Drosophila melanogaster: one gene and its partners. Changing the gene in region 2 together with the main gene of any one other region gives a genetic interaction. Each region holds a gene or a part of one and is shown on either strand. Other genes may lie near its edges.

What was found.
Region 1: of exu (region 2) and BicC, changing one enhances a phenotype caused by changing the other (phenotypic enhancement), as found in Drosophila melanogaster (one study listed by BioGRID).
Region 3: of exu (region 2) and mira, changing one suppresses a phenotype caused by changing the other (phenotypic suppression), as found in Drosophila melanogaster (one study listed by BioGRID).

The regions. Positions count from the first base shown.
Region 1 is NT_033779.5:16,040,190-16,048,051, forward strand, and holds the start of BicC (bicaudal C), read left to right. Parts: upstream 1-1,857; 5' UTR 1,858-2,338; intron 2,339-2,727; exon of another isoform or gene 2,728-2,885; 5' UTR 2,886-2,897; coding exon of another isoform or gene 2,898-3,032; 5' UTR 3,033-3,056; intron 3,057-3,634; 5' UTR 3,635-3,865; coding exon 3,866-4,172; intron 4,173-4,233; coding exon 4,234-4,283; intron 4,284-4,362; exon of another isoform or gene 4,363-4,598; coding exon 4,599-4,668; intron 4,669-4,731; coding exon 4,732-4,811; intron 4,812-4,876; coding exon 4,877-5,203; intron 5,204-5,651; coding exon 5,652-5,777; intron 5,778-5,837; coding exon 5,838-6,219; intron 6,220-6,412; coding exon 6,413-7,540; intron 7,541-7,768; coding exon 7,769-7,862. Other genes in the region: CG45084 (uncharacterized protein), read left to right, coding at 2,898-3,032. UniProt on the Drosophila melanogaster protein: RNA-binding protein that is involved in oogenesis. Required for correct targeting of the migrating anterior follicle cells and the establishment of anterior-posterior polarity in the oocyte. May act as translational repressor of oskar during oogenesis.
Region 2 is NT_033778.4:20,666,927-20,672,955, forward strand, and holds exu (exuperantia), read right to left. Parts: upstream 3,836-6,029; 5' UTR 3,712-3,835; exon of another isoform or gene 3,710-3,711; intron 3,566-3,709; exon of another isoform or gene 3,452-3,565; 5' UTR 3,425-3,451; coding exon 3,275-3,424; intron 3,206-3,274; coding exon 3,053-3,205; intron 2,970-3,052; coding exon 1,674-2,969; 3' UTR 1,649-1,673; exon of another isoform or gene 1,426-1,648; intron 1,357-1,425; 3' UTR 501-1,356; downstream 1-500. Other genes in the region: Fem-1, read right to left, coding at 1-268; galla-1, read left to right, coding at 4,458-4,752, 4,820-4,932, 5,193-5,343, 5,414-5,511. UniProt on the Drosophila melanogaster protein: Ensures the proper localization of the mRNA of the bicoid gene to the anterior regions of the oocyte thus playing a fundamental role in the establishment of the polarity of the oocyte. May bind the bcd mRNA.
Region 3 is NT_033777.3:19,931,395-19,936,996, reverse strand, and holds mira (miranda), read left to right. Parts: upstream 1-1,998; 5' UTR 1,999-2,323; coding exon 2,324-4,813; 3' UTR 4,814-4,963; downstream 4,964-5,602.

The DNA of each region.
Region 1 (7,862 bases), on a different chromosome or scaffold from region 2:
AAAAATAAAAGATCACAATAAGCCACGACAAATGGCTCTCAGTGAAGAGAACATTAAGAGATGCGGAAAGTCAAACCAAAAATGCACAGTTGCCTGGGCACTGGGCACGTACAGGGTGAGAAAATGCGTGTGCTCAGTCACTGAAAATCAAAATGTACTTAGAATAAATACTATGTACTTCAAACTCTTATGTTATATATCAAGCGTTAAATATATTCAAATAAAAAATCAAAAAGTTATAGGAATTGTGCACAGTGTACAGCAAGCTGAACTTTAGACTGCACTTGAGCTTAGCTTTCGGGTACCGTAGTGCATTTTAAAGTGGGGTTTTGACAGCTTCAAAATTGTAAACAACCGAATATAATTTAAGTCAATACTAATACCCGTTACTTTTAGAGTAAAAGAGTGTTCTAGATTAGTGGAATCGTTTGTAACATTATAAGGTATTCATCTGAGTAACGGGTATCTTATAGTCGAGAGAATCGACTATAACTTTATTTTGTTTGTTTTCTCCTTTCAGAATGAAGAAGACATTATGTCAATGTGTAAATAAAAGCTTAAAACCAAGCACAAAATTAATATTTTGTAACATCCACTGTACAGAAAGGAACTTTTTACGGTTGTGGAAATGAAAAGCAAAATTAATTATTATAGCAAGCGTTTATTTGTAGAAAACAACGAATACATAGAGCAAATTAAAACGAAAAAGAATCTTTATTTTCAAGTCTTGTTTCGGCAATATTAAAACTCGATGAAAGCAAAAGAATTATTTGAACATTTTTGGCCAACAAAAATCCAGCGGTAAATAGTTCCTTTACCTTAAACACAATTCAATGTATGCAATGGGTAATCGTAGCCCAAAAACAAATGAAAATGTATATTAAAAAAAAATAACAATAATAAAAAATAAATGTTGAATAATTTATAAATTCAGTACATATATTTAAAGTGTAAATAAAATGATAAAACGTAATAATAAAACTTATGAAATATAAATTAATTGGTGTACATGCAAAAACAAGTAATACAAATAGATAATTATATAATAATAAACTGCATGCCGCCAGATTTTTGTAATCAAATCGTGTTGTGAAAGTTGTCTTCCCTAATTTATGCCCATTACATTAAAACATTGACAGGGGATTTTAATTTTAATTTCAGTATGGTTTCAATTATGGCCAATATATATAATAAACTATAACCATATGTATAAGAATGTAAAAAGCTAGTTTTATGTACATAAAAATGGGACAAACATTTTGATGTTACTGAATAAATATTAAAAGTATTAACCAAGAAATATGAAAGTAGGATAAAAAAACAGTGAATGTTTCCAGCTGCTAGGAAAAACGATAAGTCTTAGATCTATAAAGAGAATCAAAAACGCGGTCAAATGCATAGCACATAATATATTCATATCCCCAATAAATAACCCGAAATGTGTAAAGCCAGAATAAATGTAATAATAAGATTGAAGAAAACAAAATAGTGATGTAAAATAGCAGCAAGGAAATAAAGTAACCCCTATTCAATAACTATTGCTGACGTCTTTTACTCGTACATGTCATCATTTAATTACGTAATTTAAGTTTGGTTTATTTAAAGTTTGATTTCCGGTTGTACAAGGGTGAGCGTACTTTTAAAACCCACTGTATATAAATACTTTGGTAAAGTGCAGGTTGGGGAGTTTCAGAAGCTTGAAAAGCTCCGTTTCCCGTTATAAAGCTATTGCTGAATATCCGTTATCCAGTTGGCTGGCAGCTTTTTAAGGTTGTTCGTGCACTGGCTTCACTCCCCACAGAACACAGAGCTTTTGGATCTGAAGGTCAGTTGGGACTGGGACCCACATGCCGAGCTTAGTTTGATAGTCAGCGCGCTTTAATGACGACAACTGCACGGCGCGCACAACCCATTAATAATATATTAATTCAAAAGAGCTATAAAATATTAAAAAATATTCAAATATAACTAACTAACGCGCAGTGCACGATTTTCTGACAACAATTCAGTTTCGCTTTTCATGAGACTCCATTGCATTTTCCTTTGTGTTTTTCACACACGTGGTGTTTTTCTGTTACTCGCACTTCGATAGTGGTTATTTTTTTTGGTTACATTGAAAAAATACACCGACTGCCAGCCGAATTCCCATTCGAACCTTAATTTGACCAATTGACGGAAAATTAATTGCGCCCAAAATTAATTAGCAAGCGGATATACAATTTTTTTACGTGAAAAGAGCGTGTTATTTGTCGAAAAGATTTTACAATTGATTGTGTTTAAGTAAATTAACCTGCGATATCTATGTGTATGTGCTACGATCCGAATTTCTGACATTACGGTAAGTGGCGTGTTTTTGGCGGGAATAAAGTCGGTTTCTCTTTGTGCCGTATTTCTCTACCGTTTTTTCTGGCGCCAAAATGAATGAAAACGGTTGGCAACATTTCAAACTTAACATTGCAACATTCTAACCGCTGTTAAGCGTTTGCTCTGCAAATTGTTGTAGCTATGTTGGAGTTCTGGAACACCACCTCTCCCTGCGACTTTGTTTTGTTTTTCGCTCTCGACATATGGAATCGAATCTCTTATTCCGGGAGCGGTTCATTGACCCAGCAACAACAATATTCGCCAGATTTTCTCCTGCCAGCGATTTGCGGAATTCATCCGCTCAACAGTTAGAAGTAAATGCCGTCGAGCAGCGGGCAAAATCGATCGACGAAATCGAGAGCCGCGTTCAGTTGCCTTCAAGCCGTACTTAGAAGAAGTGCTGGTCCCCCAGAAATCAGAGAGATTTTTCCCAACTTGCATTTTTCCAATACTCTGACAAAGCCCCTCAGACCGTCGCAATCACACAGCTATATACTGATATATAGATCTCTATTGCGCAGATCACACCTTAAATGCCTTTCGTCGAGAGATTTCAACAAATACGTAATTTTGTTATGAACGTCTGCCTCGTCGAGGCCATCCAATTCGTCCAGGACCTCTCGCACGCCATCTGTCTGGACCTCCAGGGCCTATTTAATCTCAAGTAGAGATCACCGAGCGATCTCCCAGCGGTAAGTTACGCCATTGGTTTTTGGGCACAAGGAAGTGAAAGTGAAGACACGGGTGAAATTACGGTTTTCGGGATCTCGAGAGAAAGGGGAAAGTACGAACCTCATGGCAGCAGCACTCCATTTTGAGAGGTTATGTGAAAGAACACACAAGAAAGTTTGGAATTTTCGACAGGCGGCGAACCAATAATAATGTTGTTATCCATAATAATATTAATTAGTGAATTTTTATTTCACCTTTTCGCGGCATTATTCTCACAAATTTATAAGACAGATTTTCAAATTAAGACAGAAAGTTTTTTAATGTTAGTGAAAAGTACTTATTCCAGTTGATAGTTAAATACTATTTACCGCAAAAAATTAAAAGAGAACTAAATTTAAAGGTAAAATCGTTTTTTTTTTTGGAAAGTGCATTGCTTAAATTATGGTACCGACTATCAAAATAAAAATAATTAATTTTTATATGGTGTTTCAATATTCACTTTAAATTACCTATGACTCGCTTTCTAACCACTCTCTTCTTATTACGAACATCAATTTTCTTGTTACATCATTTCGGACCTTTCATTTTTCATCACCAGCTCATCCCATCAATTCAGATACACTTTACTTCATTAAGTAGCAGCAATCATCTAACAAAGCTGACCAAACAACGGACCGGCTTCCAGAATCCTTAACTGAGACGGACGTTTTGCTTGGTTTTTAAAACTAAACGACTTTTTGGTACCCACACCTGTTGACCTCTGACGAATTTCTCGATCCACTGACCGATCCACTGATCCAGTGATCATCATCATCATCCGAATTCCACAATGTTGTCCTGTGCCTCTTTCAATAAACTGATGTATCCGTCGGCCGCAGATGTTGCCAAACCGCCAATGGTGGGCTTGGAGGTGGAAGCTGGATCCATTGGATCCCTGTCCAGTCTTCACGCCCTTCCATCGACCACCTCGGTGGGCAGTGGAGCCCCCAGCGAGACGCAGAGCGAGATCTCCTCCGTGGATAGCGATTGGAGTGACATACGCGCCATCGCCATGAAGTTGGGCGTTCAAAACCCAGACGATCTCCACACGGAACGTTTCAAGGTGGATCGACAGAAATTGGAACAGTTAATAAAAGGTAATGCCTTTATATATAAAAATAATAGATTCCTTATTATACATTGCCTTTTTTCTGATAGCGGAGAGCTCCATTGAGGGAATGAATGGAGCTGAATATTTTTTCCATGACGTGAGTACATATTTTTAAGTTTTGGGCACCTATTAGCTTCACACTTTCTTTTGTCTCATTTTGAGACACAGAATGCCATGCCTTATAAATATTGAACATATAATAATATGTTTCCTATTCAATAGTATATTAAGTTATTTAGTTTTTGAGCAAAATTTTTAAGTTAATTGATTCATGTCTTTGTTTGGCAATCTGACTTTGCATCTATAAAATTTCAGTGTATAACCCAATTTGTTTTAAGATACTGTTAGGACCGACTCTTTTGACTTGATATAAAAGAATTCGCCATATATCCAAAACATATTCTTTTACTAGATCATGAACACTACGGATACTTATGTGAGCTGGCCTTGCAGACTCAAAATTGGTGCCAAGAGCAAGAAGGGTAGGATATTGAAATATTTTCAATGTTCAAGAGTATTTTTCAAATAAATCCCATAATTTAAAGATCCCCATGTGCGAATTGTGGGAAAGGTGGATCAGGTTCAGCGGGCAAAGGAGCGCATCCTTAGCAGTCTTGACTCCAGGGTGAGTGAGCCAAAGCATAATACAAACTTATCTGTTTTAATTGTTACCCATTTTTCTCCGAACAGGGCACTCGAGTGATCATGAAAATGGACGTCAGCTACACGGATCACTCGTACATCATCGGACGAGGTGGCAACAACATCAAGCGCATAATGGACGACACGCATACCCATATCCACTTCCCCGACTCGAATCGCTCCAATCCCACGGAGAAATCCAACCAGGTGTCGCTGTGCGGCAGCCTAGAGGGCGTGGAGCGAGCCCGGGCTCTCGTTCGGCTCTCCACACCGCTGCTCATCTCCTTCGAGATGCCCGTAATGGGACCCAACAAGCCGCAGCCCGACCACGAGACTCCCTACATCAAGATGATCGAGACCAAGTTCAATGTTCAGGTGAGTTCCAGATGTCGGAGTCAACTAAGTGTAAGATTATAAATTAATTATAAATTAATCATGGCATGTTACCAAATATTATTTGCATTTGACTATAATGGCTTGATTAGTTTAACTAATTTAGGTAAGATTTTGTAATATACATTCATACATACATTTAAGAGGGGGTATAGAAAATGTCAAATTTTTTTTTCCCAACCCTTGAGAGTTGTGATTATATATTGCTCCATTATAATTTTATCAACTGATGTTACATTAGGCTAATTTTGCAGTTGTGTTATTATTATATATTTTTAAGTGATTTAGAACGCATTTAAAGTAATAAAGTTACTTAAACGTTATTTTCGAATTTGGCAACCTTAAATTACAACCAAGGATTTTTGTAAACAGTTTTTTCGTTGCTCTTAATTATTATTGAATATATTTTAAAGATTTTTCCTCCTTTCAGGTCATATTCTCCACGCGTCCAAAATTGCATACCTCGCTGGTTTTGGTCAAGGGATCCGAGAAGGAATCGGCGCAGGTCCGAGATGCCACGCAGCTGCTGATCAACTTCGCCTGTGAGAGTATTGCGGTAGGTTCGAGAAGGATAACTCAAAATAAGGCTCATCAGCGAATCCTTTTTCCTTTTTAGAGCCAAATCCTGGTGAATGTCCAGATGGAGATCTCGCCGCAGCATCACGAAATCGTCAAGGGCAAGAACAACGTGAATCTGCTGAGCATTATGGAGCGAACCCAGACCAAGATCATATTCCCCGATCTGAGCGACATGAACGTGAAGCCCCTGAAGAAGTCCCAGGTCACGATCAGCGGACGCATCGACGACGTCTACTTGGCGCGACAACAATTGCTTGGCAATTTGCCCGTAGCATTGATTTTTGACTTTCCGGACAACCACAACGATGCATCCGAAATAATGAGCCTCAACACCAAGTACGGCGTCTACATCACGTTGCGCCAGAAACAGCGGCAGAGCACCCTGGCCATTGTGGTCAAGGGAGTGGAGAAGTTTATAGGTAAGATCTCTAAAGCAATGTGTAAAGTGTATGATTTTCGTTGATTCTGCATTAATATACGATTGCACTTTCCATTATTGTTTGATTTTTATCCCATATTTTCCTTACTTTTTAGATATATTATACAATTTAAGATATTTAGCAAGTGCTGAATTAAATTTCCGTATTAATCCGTTGTTGTCACCCTCCTTAGACAAAATCTACGAGGCCCGCCAGGAGATCCTGCGCCTGGCCACGCCATTCGTGAAGCCCGAGATCCCCGACTACTACTTCATGCCAAAGGACAAAGACCTTAATCTCGCCTACCGCACCCAGTTAACTGCTCTGCTGGCTGGGTATGTGGACAGCCCGAAGACTCCATCGCTGCTGCCGCCCTCCTTGGCTGGCCAACTGACGCCCTATGCCAACAACAATCACCTGTTGTTGAACGCCAATGGCTTGGCCACGCCCACTGGGGTGTGTGCGCCCACCCAAAAATATATGCAGTTGCACAACAGCTTCCAACAGGCTCAGAATCGTTCCATGGTGGCTGGTGGGCAGAGCAACAATGGCAACTATCTGCAGGTTCCTGGAGCGGTGGCGCCGCCTCTCAAACCGCCGACTGTTTCGCCACGGAACAGCTGCAGTCAGAATACCAGTGGTTACCAGAGCTTTAGCAGCAGCACCACCTCCCTGGAGCAGTCGTATCCGCCGTATGCCCAATTGCCGGGCACCGTGTCGTCCACTTCATCCTCCACCGCGGGAAGCCAAAATCGGGCGCATTATTCGCCAGATTCCACTTACGGCAGTGAGGGTGGTGGCGTTGGCGGCGGAGGTGGTGGTGGGGCGCGTCTGGGACGACGCCTTAGCGATGGAGTGCTGCTGGGGCTGAGTAATTCCAACGGTGGAGGAGGTAACTCCGGAGGAGCCCACCTCCTGCCCGGCAGTGCCGAGAGCTATCGGAGTTTGCACTATGACCTTGGAGGAAACAAGCACTCCGGCCACCGTGCCTTTGACTTCGACATGAAACGGGCCCTGGGCTACAAAGCCATGGAGCGCACCCCGGTGGCAGGGGAGCTGCGAACACCCACGACCGCTTGGATGGGAATGGGCTTGAGCAGCACCTCGCCCGCCCCTGCCCCGCTGGAGAACGGGGAAAATGGGGCTGCTGGTGGAGGAGCATCTAGTGGGTGGCGGCTGCCACCAGGACTGGGTTCCCCTTACGGACTGAGTGCCACCACCGGACTCCTGGACGCCACTCCAGTCAACCGACGGATGCAGCTAGCCAAGCACAAGGACATCCAGACTCTGCTCACCAGTTTGGGTCTGGAGCACTACATCAGTGAGTAGCTCCGCCGATCATGTCCGTTTTTACCAACTGTGTACTAGAAGTCTTTTATAAAGCTATCATATATGTCTGGCTTGAACTGGAGAGTGTTTTATTTAACGCAAACGTTTTTTCACAGTCATAGATAAAGTTACATAAAGTTCAACATCCATATAGCATTTAAAATCAAACTATTTTATATTTACAACCTGGGAAAACTACAGTTTTTATTTCTCCTTTCAGAAATATTCGTTCTAAACGAAATCGACCTGGAGGTGTTCACCACCCTGACCGAGGAAAACCTGATGGAGCTGGGTATCGCGGCGTTTGGAGCTCG
Region 2 (6,029 bases):
CCAGGTGGGTCTGCACCGCCCTGCAGCTAACCGAATTCAAGATCTCGACGAAGCTCAACATCTGACCACTGCGGGCCGCTAGGTGAAGGTTGTTTAGCTGGGAGAAACGTAGACGCGGCTCGTGGGGAAACTTGGCCCGGATCTCCTCGGAGATCTCCACCAGCATTCCGTGGGCCATGTTGAAGTAGCCGAAATCGGGCGGATAGCCGTCGTATATGGACGTATGTGCCTCGTCTAGAGGCGCCTCTTCTGCGGGATCGACGTCCATTCTGGCCGGGAAATGGACGATGCTGCACTGATCGGTGATCACTGATCACCAGGTATGGGTATGGAAGCAATCCACACAGGCCCACTCTTTCCAGGCCAGGCGGCAATACGGTCACACCTAGCGGTGCACCTGCGAGAGTGAAAACAGTGACTCGGCGCGATAGGCTGACCGTTAGTTTATCGTTCGTTTATTCGCGCCCTTTGCAGATATTACATATGTTTGTTGATTCGTTAGTTTATCGTTCGTTTATTCGCGCCCTTTGCAGATATTACATATGTTTGTTGATTGTAAATATGAAACATATATGAAATACAGCTTGAAATACTGGATATGTTCACAAGTGTTGGGTTAGATTAAGTGTGCGAATTGAATATGCTTTCTGTGTGCGTGCGTGTGCGTGCGTAAGGTTAACTGTATTAGATTGGTGTATTTTTATATCGTGCTTTCTTTAGCTTCAATGTGAAAGTTTTCTACATTGGACCAGGCCTGGATCTTGGGTTTTATTCATAGAGTTTTGATAGTGTGCGTCGACAGGCCCGTCCAATGGAAAATTTTCATCGAGGCGTTTCGTTTTGGATCATATTTTCCCAATCTCCCATTTGAGTGCGGCGATGTGCATCGGTTCGCCGGGAAAACTATGCCTAAACGCAGCGAGTTCTTAATTGTACATCATATTTGTTGTTCCTTCTTCTCCATCATTATTTCTAGCATACGCTGCTTTAAAGTGTGGATATATAGTCTCTTGAGTTTACAGTGGGCTCAGCATCCTCCCTATGCTGGACAATATAGTTTTCAAACGTCTCGATTAACAATTCACTCGTTTCAAAAATGTCGCTTGAAGCTTGTGTCATCACTATTCAACAGTCACTGTTTACGTCACAGTCACGGTTTACTCACACTATCGATACACCAACGTGCTCGTGAGTTGTGCGCGGATGTGTTTGTTGTGTTCACGGGAAATTTGCTTCCACTGGAATTTAAAGCTTGTCTGCACTAGATCTTCTAAAAGGAAGAAAGTTCGTATGTGGTTTAAATCTCCATTCTCTGCCCTTGTCTTCTTGTGTTTTGATCATCCATTTTTTGATATACTGAAATGGCAAAATGTCGGTTAGGAAACTCAATCCCGAAAATCCCAAAGTGATTTGAATGATTAGCTTAAGCGTTGTGAGTTTATATTGAAAATATGTAATAAAACCTTTTACATTTAGCTAAAAAAGGCTACATTTTTATCAATATATTTGATGCATAAAATTCATTAAAAATACAAGCAAGTGTACGCAATTCATAAAATTAATCAACAATCTACATGAAGGCTTACCCCTCGTTAACTACGTTATCTACAAAGCAAATGGCAGAAGTATCTCAATATAAGATATTTACTTTACGGATCCACCAGAACTGGATTTTAGTTGGAGGCCGTGATGGCCACCGGTGTCGGTGAGGGTTGTGCCACGACTGGGCTTATGGTTACGGCAGGTGGAGCGCTATTGTTGAGCTCAGACACGCCTGAGGAGGATATTTCAGCAGCAACCTTGAGTCCATTGGGGGTTGCACCCAAGCTTTGACGCGAGTTGCGCTTACGGTGCATACGCGGCTTGTTTGGCGAGGGAGTCTTGGTAGTAGAGTCGGGCAACGAGGAAACGCTGCGCGACTTGTCACCTCCTGCTCCAAACTCGGTGCTAGCCGATGGGGAGCTGGATGGCCTAGCGTCCTTCACCGATTGGCGGCCGCCGCGTCGATTGCGACGACGATAATTGTTATTATTGTTGCTGTTACCCTTGACAACCGGCTTCACCGTGGTCTTCTTGGGATCGAAATAGCTGTCCAGAAGCTCGAGCAGCTCCGCCTTGTCCTTGCTCTTTAGCCGGCCAATTGACTGCAGGGCTATGTCCAGGCCCTCGATGTTTTTCTCTGCCCAGATGGCACTTAGCGTGTTCAAATCGAACCCATTCTCGGCCAGCACAATGCGGAACTTTACGGCACGCACACGATGGTACAGAGTGGTCTTGAAGTAGTTCAGGAACACCGGACGGAAGGAGTTTTGACGCTCCAAATTTTCGATCTGGATATCCAGCTCCAGGACATCGGACACCACCAACTTGGCAAACGGACGTATGGCATTAAACATATTCTCCAATGCCTCCGAGCTTTTTGGTTCCGGCTTGCCGTCGGAGTTGCTCAGCTGAAGGGCCACATCAAAGGCCAATTTGGCACGAACACTGGCATTGCCATCAAACAGTTCCCGCTTACCCTGAACGGCGTTCTTGCTAGATTGCTTATCGTCACCATTGGTCACGGTACTGTCCCTGGGGGATATCGATACCGAATCGGACACCATACTAGATCCAGATCCCAAGCCAGATCCAGATCCAGATGTGGACGCAGAGCAAGCCGCGTCTTCCTCCTTGGTCGTGGACAAGATCTTGGAAAGCTTTCGCAGACTGTAGTTCTTTATGTTGGCATCGCCAATGGAAGCCTTGGCCAGATTGATGCTGTTTGCAAACGACTTCACCGACGCGGTGAAGCGCTCCAACAGGCCGTACTTCTTCAACGACTCCAGGATCATGTAGGGAATGAACTTGCGCTCTTCATGATAGATAAGCACAATCCCGTCCGAGCTGGGACCCGCCTTGGTCTTCAGTTGCTCAAGCCAGTTGAGGAAGTCCTTGAGGGCAGCGATCTCAGACTTGGATTTAATGATCTGAGAGGATATTGTATGTTGAATTGTGGATGCTTCAATACTTGACTGCCACTATTAAATGGACTGGACTGCACTGGACTCACCTTATAAGTCTGCATCGACTTCAGCATACGATAAAAGCCAATCGAAATAACACGAACTTGATGACGCTGGCGAGCAGCTGGATTCAGATTCATATATGGCATGATGTACTGCTCGAAGTGGTCGGTGGGTGTATAAGCGGCCAGCTGGACAATCTGTGGGTTTATCGCAAGTGGGGTTAGGACCGAACGACGAACGATCTAACGGCAGTCAGGGGGTATTACCTCATCCATTAGACGACGTCCAGTGGTGTCGATATCCACGCCCACCAGGATATAATTACCGGCCGGCAGCTCAACTTTATCGCCCACGGGCGACGAGGATTGATCGGCGACGGCAATGGCCACTCCGGCATCGATGTTATCGGCAACCATTTTCTTATATGATCTGCGAAAAGCAATCTAGAAAATTCGGATAACGAAATTAGCTGAGTCACTAGAATTTTTTTTTTTTAAGGAACCGATTTCCTTTGCAAAACGCGAACCGCTTTCACTAGATTTTCGATATGAAGTGACGGGCTACGAATTTTCAAGAGTCTATTAAACCCAAAGCTACAACTAACGGTTTTCTTCCAGTGGCGCCATCTTTTACACAGATGTTTTTATGTGTATGTATGTATGTTCACTTTCACCACACTTTAGCACTTTTCTTTTGGGCTCACCTTTATTGAACTCCTTTTTCGTGTTGGTTTCGATGGGCTCTTTCGCTTTTTACGAACTTTTTCCTTTATTTTTCAAAAGGTTAAAGCGAAATTTGCTTCTGTTCGACGAGCTTTCACAAATAAGAAACAATTCGTACGACTAACTAAAACGTAATGAATAATTTCCTGATGCACCCGACGGCCTAGGAAAAGTGCGCGAATTTGACATATGCAAAGCCTGCTAATCGAGGTTTTTGACTTAAGTACGATGGGTTAGACAGCTGCAACTCGTCCACATCTTGCCACAACGCCCACTGTGCAGGTGAAAACTTTTTGCAGAATATTTTTACCGCTGCTATAATAAAATATAGTCTTTCAGCTTGTAAATAAATTTTTTTCCAATTATTAGCCGGCAAAATTGGTGGGTAAACAACAAATATTTGGACAAAAGCGCAGACAAGAACTGATAAGAGGATCAGGGATGACGAATTTCAAATGGTTGCGCCAGAGATGACAGGGTATCGATATCACTATCGATAGACTTATCGAAGACGGCTTAGCACTTATACCTACTCTGCAGCCCTGGTCGGCAGAAAAACAATAATCAGCTGATGCCATCGCTTATTTCCAACAATTTGCACCGCAAAAGTGAAGAATTACCAAGCAAATAGATCGCCTGCCGACCGAATTATGCTGCTGTAATCACCCAAGCACACAACGGTAAAGATAAAACCAGGCGAGATAACACCACGCACAGGTGCCACAACATGCTGTCCTACATAAAGCGCAAGCTCTCCGAATCCGACAGCGGCGTCAGTTCGGTCGCAACTGTGACGTCGTCGTGCGGCGGCGATAGTGGGAGAGCGGGCGGAACGGGCAGCAGTGAAAGCGGTACGGGCAGCAGCAGCGCCAGTATCAGCGGACGCAGCCAGAACGCCGACGAGTTAGTGCGCAAAACGAGCCAGATGTCGATGGATGATGAGGCCATTGCCTTCGGGGAGGACGCACTGCTCCATGAACTGGGCTACAAGAATCAGACGGAACTGCAGGAAACCATCTACGGTTCGATATTTAATGGCATTCTTTTTCACTTTGGCCTAGTTATGTAATTTCTCTTGTCGTTACACAGATCTGTTGCGCGGCATTCGCGATCCCGAGAAGCCGTGCACTTTGGAGGACCTCAACGTTGTCTACGAGGATGGAATCTTTGTGATGCCGCCCACGCGCTCCAATGTCTCAGTTGTACGTTACTCAATATCTTTATAAGCCATAAGCTTGAGCCCTAATCATCATTTCATCATAAGTTAAATCTGCGCGTGTGTTTATTTGCTTTCATCACTATTGTTGCTTAATATTTGAAAGGATTAACGATTTAGCTTCAAAATGACTTTAAAATTGATCTCATAGCTTAAAGTACTTGTATTATACTAAATCCACACCTCATAAATCTTTTGTGTAGTAAAAAGTTGAAATGCATGGTATTTGTCTCTTAATTCTTTCAGGTTCGCATCGAGTTTAACCCCACAGTGCCACATTGCTCGTTGGCCACGCTTATTGGACTCTGTATACGCGTGAAAGTAGAACGCGGACTTCCGCACAACATAAAGCTAGACATATACATCAAGAAGGGAGCGCATCAAACCGAGGAAGAGAGTAAGTTGGACCAACCAGATACTATTATCATACATATGTGTTCTAAGTAAAAATGATTACGTTTCCCCAGTTAACAAGCAAATCAATGACAAGGAGCGCATCGCTGCGGCCATGGAGAACCCCAATCTGAGGGATTTGGTCGAGAACTGCATCAAGGATGAGGAGTAGCTCTCTTTGCCATATCTTTTGTACATAGGGAATACTTTGAGGAATGTCTAGGATTAAGTGTACCATTAAGTTGCATCAGGGAGTGTGTGCTTAGCATTAAAGCCCTTAAAATCTGTTAATCGCTCGGCCGTTTTGATTCCACCAGAATATCGATTGCTCAACGTCCTATCTATTTTCCCGCCTATGCTGCTTACTGATAAGGTCCCCCGGGCCCAACAACTCTCATTGTTTACATTGTGCCGAAGCGATATGGCCGTCGGACATTCGGCCCAAGAAAACCGTGTGCACATCGGTGTCATGGCGGGTGAATGAATCTGAATCGCAATCGTATCGATGGGCCGGCCATGTTGGGCACCAGCCAGACGGCGTGTACGTCACACGGATTTATCAGCTTCAGAAGAGTAGAGAATGTTTGGGGCGTAACGCAGGGTAATCACCTGCCGTTGGCGCTGTTAAGTTGAGTGCATGACACACATTCGACTCAACTCGACTCGGCTAATTTCTTTGCAACTCTCCGG
Region 3 (5,602 bases), on a different chromosome or scaffold from region 2:
GATCCACGTCCTCGTTCTTTAGTAACGTTTTGTATCCCATGAGGGTGCGAAACCCCTTTGATCTTCAGGGGCCAAGCCAGTCTTTTGTTGCACTCACTTTGTGTTGTGATGACATTGGCTCTGGCTCAGGAGAAGTGAGAATGGATCCCATGGAAACATCATTAGATCGCGTTACCTTATAGCGCGTTCAATGAATGGTAGTTATGCATGGACAGGCATGGGAAAATGATGTTGAAGGTGTCGCGGCGTAGGGTAAATGTCATTAACATCATTAATATTACTGTGAGTCCTGCACATCATTGGATCAGCGAATAATGAAAACCCTTTTTCGTAAAATTTCCATTTTTATTATAAGAGAGTTTGGGAAAATCAAATGCAAATATGTTTATGGGAAAATATTACCTCTATGAAACCAAAGGATGGTTTCGTAACCTTATATACATACATATTATGTACATGAACTATATAAATTGACAAAGGTTGTGAAGCATAAATATAAATTAAAAAGTAATGCTTGAGTATTAATATTCTATTGATTTCCAAACGATTTCCCTTGTCCTATGGCTCCCTACATTGTCTTTCTACATTATAATTCTTTTGCACAGCTGTGTGTGGCTGACCCACCCAGAATTTCATGCTTGTCTGCTTTAACCTAGAATTATCACCTCCCAGTTGCTAGAATCTTCCGGTCATTGTTTGCCATCAAAGGAACAACCAGCTGATTTCAGTTGGCAGTTGTGACAAACTCACTGGAGAAAAGAAGTGAAAAAATGACAGGATGCACAGGCAGCTACCGCAGGATCAGCAGGATATCATGAGGGGGTTCTCTATACAGATTATAGATGGCCGATTGCCCAACTGCCTAGCGATATCACATGAAAAATCAATTTTCCCGACGCATTTCCATTTTCCATGCAATTCATTTAGCCTCAATTCCATTCAACTCATTGCGCAGGCGCAACTCGCCCATTTCCGACGCATTTTCCTTTAATTATGCGGGCATCGGATTTCGTATCAAATTAACGAATTATGCTGGCTGCCAGCTGTGTTGGAGCTAACGGATGAGGCAGTCCATCCAGCCATCAGCTCATATCCTTGTACTCGTAGTCTCGCAATTCTCGAAAGCAATCGCATTTACTTGTAGTCCTCGAAGGAAAGGAGAAGCCCAGGCAGATGTGAGTGAGTGTGTCTCTGTTCGTCGGCAACGGCACATTTCCCATATGTACTTAAGCCGGGGAATGCGGAACCCCGTCGTCCTATCTCCACCCCTACCCATCTTGCTACCCCCACTCCGGTCTCGAACCCTCCTCGTGCTGTCTTGAACTACAATTGCAACATTTGCGCGCGCTAAAATGAAAACATTTCCTTTATATACACGAGGCCGACGTCTTGACAAACACACAGATAAGACGAACAGGGGATCAAGAACTGTGGCACGAACTACCACCAAATAAAAAAAAAATTAGGAGTCGTATAACTCGGCTTACCTGAATTCTAGATACTCTTAAAAGAGGACATTATAGAAAATATATAATATTATATGTTTAATTTAAATTGAAAAGTGGTTAAGATCAGAAGAATTATGCCGTCTGCAAATGACTTGTCTAATATTAAATTAACATTAGAATGTTTAAGGAATATGAAATTTTTGTTCAGCTAATATCTAAAAAATCCAAAATTGTCGTGATATTATTTTCTATGTCCACTAATTATTATATTCAATGTTAATGTTATTAGATTAAAATGAAAGTCCTACGAAATGAAAACCATAAACCATTTTTCGTTTGAAGATCTCGGAAATACCCAACCTGAAATGTTGGGTATATCCCACATAGGTGAAGCAATGCAGGATCGTTGAAGCGACCCCTGCTCGAGCGAGGGTTGTTTTCTTTGCCTCCCCTGGGTCTATCTCGTTTCCACACTCTATCCATCCCTTTTCCACTCGCTGTGCCAGCTGGAGGCTATGTCTGCCTCAGGGATCTTGGACAGAAGGTGAGCTCAGTTAGGTTTTGACAGCGGAACGCGTAGGTACAGTGAAACGGGTAGCAACGGGATAGCGGGTTTAGTGTAGCACAGAACGGACCACAAAGTACAGATGAATTAAATACGACTACAGACTACTACCATATTGTTAAACAGTTTACCTAAAAATCCTAAGGAAAAGATAACCAAATTAAACCGAAAGTTAAAGTTGTGTTTATGTTTGATCGTTGAGTTATTGTTATATCGAAAGTTAAACGAGCGTTGTTAATGAGACATTGATACAAAATCCGAAAAGAATCGTTACCAAGTTAAACCGAAAGTCCAAAAAACAAATTCGAAAATGTCTTTCTCCAAGGCCAAGTTGAAGCGTTTCAACGACGTGGATGTGGCCATCTGCGGTTCGCCAGCTGCGTCCAACAGCTCGGCGGGATCGGCGGGCAGTGCCACGCCCACCGCGTCTTCGGCAGCCGCTGCTCCGCCAACCGTTCAACCGGAACGCAAGGAGCAGATCGAGAAGTTCTTCAAGGACGCCGTGCGTTTCGCGTCCAGCTCGAAGGAGGCCAAGGAATTTGCCATTCCCAAGGAGGACAAAAAGTCAAAGGGATTACGTCTGTTCCGTACTCCTTCGTTGCCGCAGCGCCTACGCTTCCGTCCGACTCCCAGTCACACGGATACGGCCACCGGAAGCGGAAGTGGCGCCTCAACAGCGGCATCCACTCCTCTGCATTCGGCAGCCACCACGCCCGTAAAGGAGGCCAAGTCAGCCAGCCGTCTGAAGGGCAAGGAGGCACTCCAGTACGAAATCCGTCACAAAAACGAACTGATCGAGAGCCAGTTGAGCCAACTGGACGTGCTGCGCCGCCATGTGGATCAGTTGAAGGAAGCCGAGGCCAAGTTGCGCGAGGAGCATGAGTTGGCTACCTCCAAGACAGATCGGCTCATCGAAGCCCTGACCAGTGAGAATTTATCGCACAAAGCTCTGAACGAGCAGATGGGCCAGGAGCACGCTGATCTTTTGGAGCGTTTGGCCGCCATGGAGCAGCAGTTGCAGCAACAGCACGACGAGCATGAAAGGCAAGTGGAGGCGTTGGTTGCCGAGAGCGAGGCACTGCGTCTGGCCAACGAGCTGCTGCAGACAGCGAATGAGGATCGTCAAAAGGTGGAGGAGCAGCTGCAGGCACAACTCTCTGCTCTTCAGGCGGATGTGGCTCAGGCCCGCGAGCACTGCAGCCTGGAGCAGGCAAAGACCGCCGAGAACATTGAGCTGGTAGAGAATCTCCAGAAGACCAATGCCTCCCTGCTGGCCGACGTGGTCCAGCTGAAGCAGCAGATCGAACAGGATGCCCTGTCCTACGGACAGGAGGCCAAGAGCTGCCAGGCGGAACTGGAGTGTCTGAAGGTGGAGCGCAACACCCTGAAGAATGACTTGGCCAACAAGTGCACTCTGATCCGCTCGCTGCAAGACGAGCTTCTCGACAAGAACTGCGAGATCGATGCTCACTGCGATACCATTCGCCAGCTGTGCCGGGAACAGGCTCGCCACACCGAGCAGCAGCAGGCGGTGGCCAAGGTGCAGCAGCAGGTTGAGAGCGACCTAGAGAGCGCGGTGGAGCGCGAGAAGAGCTACTGGCGCGCCGAGCTGGACAAGCGCCAGAAGCTGGCCGAGAACGAGCTGATCAAGATCGAGCTGGAGAAGCAGGACGTGATGGTGCTGCTGGAGACCACCAATGATATGCTGCGCATGCGCGACGAGAAGCTGCAGAAATGCGAAGAGCAGTTGCGCAACGGCATCGACTACTACATCCAGCTGAGCGACGCACTGCAGCAGCAGCTGGTGCAGCTGAAGCAGGACATGGCCAAGACGATCACCGAGAAGTACAACTACCAGCTGACTTTGACCAACACCCGGGCCACCGTCAACATTCTGATGGAGCGTCTAAAGAAGTCCGATGCGGATGTGGAGCAGTACCGAGCGGAGCTGGAATCGGTGCAGTTGGCCAAGGGAGCGCTGGAGCAGAGCTATCTGGTGTTGCAGGCGGACGCAGAGCAACTGCGCCAGCAATTGACCGAGAGCCAGGATGCGCTCAACGCACTGAGATCCTCCTCCCAGACGCTGCAGAGCGAGGTATCGTTGAAGGAGTCCTTGCTCCACGAGCTGCTAGCCGGCGAGGCGGAGACGTTGGCTAAATTCAATCAGATTGCAAACTCGTTCCAGGAGCGCATCGATGGCGACGCCCAGTTGGCCCACTACCACGAGCTGCGCCGCAAGGACGAGACGCGCGAGGCCTACATGGTGGACATGAAGAAGGCGCTCGATGAATTCGCCACCGTGCTGCAGTTCGCCCAATTGGAGCTGGACAACAAGGAGCAGATGCTTGTTAAGGTGCGCGAGGAGTGCGAACAGCTCAAGCTGGAGAACATTGCCCTCAAGTCCAAGCAACCGGGATCCGCCTCTCTGCTGGGAACACCTGGCAAGGCCAACCGCTCCAATACCACCGATCTGGAGAAGATCGAGGATCTGCTGTGCGACTCGGAGCTGCGATCCGACTGCGAGAAGATCACCACGTGGCTGCTCAACTCCTCGGACAAGTGCGTGCGCCAGGATACCACCAGCGAGATCAACGAGCTCCTGTCCGCCGGCAAGTCCTCGCCCCGTCCCGCCCCCCGCACACCCAAGGCGCCGCACACCCCGCGCAGTCCGCGCACCCCCCACACCCCACGAACACCACGATCGGCGGCCAGCACTCCCAAGAAGACTGTCCTGTTCGCCGGCAAGGAGAACGTGCCCAGTCCGCCACAGAAGCAGGTGCTCAAGGCGCGCAACATCTAGGCTATTCCTTTGTAACAACTACTCTATCGTACTATTATAAATTATATACCTTAGCTAAGATCCGATTCGAAATATAATCAATACACGTTGCACACAACACAGCCAGAGGTGTTTCTGAAATCTCTTTCGAGCACTCTCCGACTAAATTCCAAATCTGATTGTTTTCTATCTTTCGCGTTTGTGTTCTGGAAATATGGGACTTACCTAATCTCATAAAAAATATCATTTTGATGCAATGCATTTTAAGGCATGAGAAATCAAATAAAAAATCTGAAAAAGGTGTCTTGGAAAGTGAGACCTTCTTTAAAGCTATTTAAATTAAATAGACTCATCTTTGAATGTAACGAAAATAATGAGAATGCATCAATTATTTTTTCCATTTATTAGCCAATTTATTCATATAAGGTCAAATTATCTGTAAAAAAAAAAAAGAAATAAAAGGTATTCTGATCTAAAATGTAGAAGTGTACAGTATCATCACCTTGAACTTCGTTCTTAAAATACGTTATATCTTGTATATGCATTTAAAAAAGCCTGTACCTAAAGAATCAGGAAATTGTTTACGTTTTTCATACCAACCCCGTGCAACTCGTTTTTGATTTCGATGTGGTGGAATTTTCTCATGCTGAAACTCCTCGTTGAAGAATGAGAAGGAAGGGGTGTGGGCTGCCATGCAATCCGATGGATTCTTGCGACGCTGATTACGCACACGTGTCCCTTGGCACCGCCTTATCCCCGATGGTTACTCGATGGGAACGGTTCCAGAGTTGCGCAGTTCCTTAGTTCCTC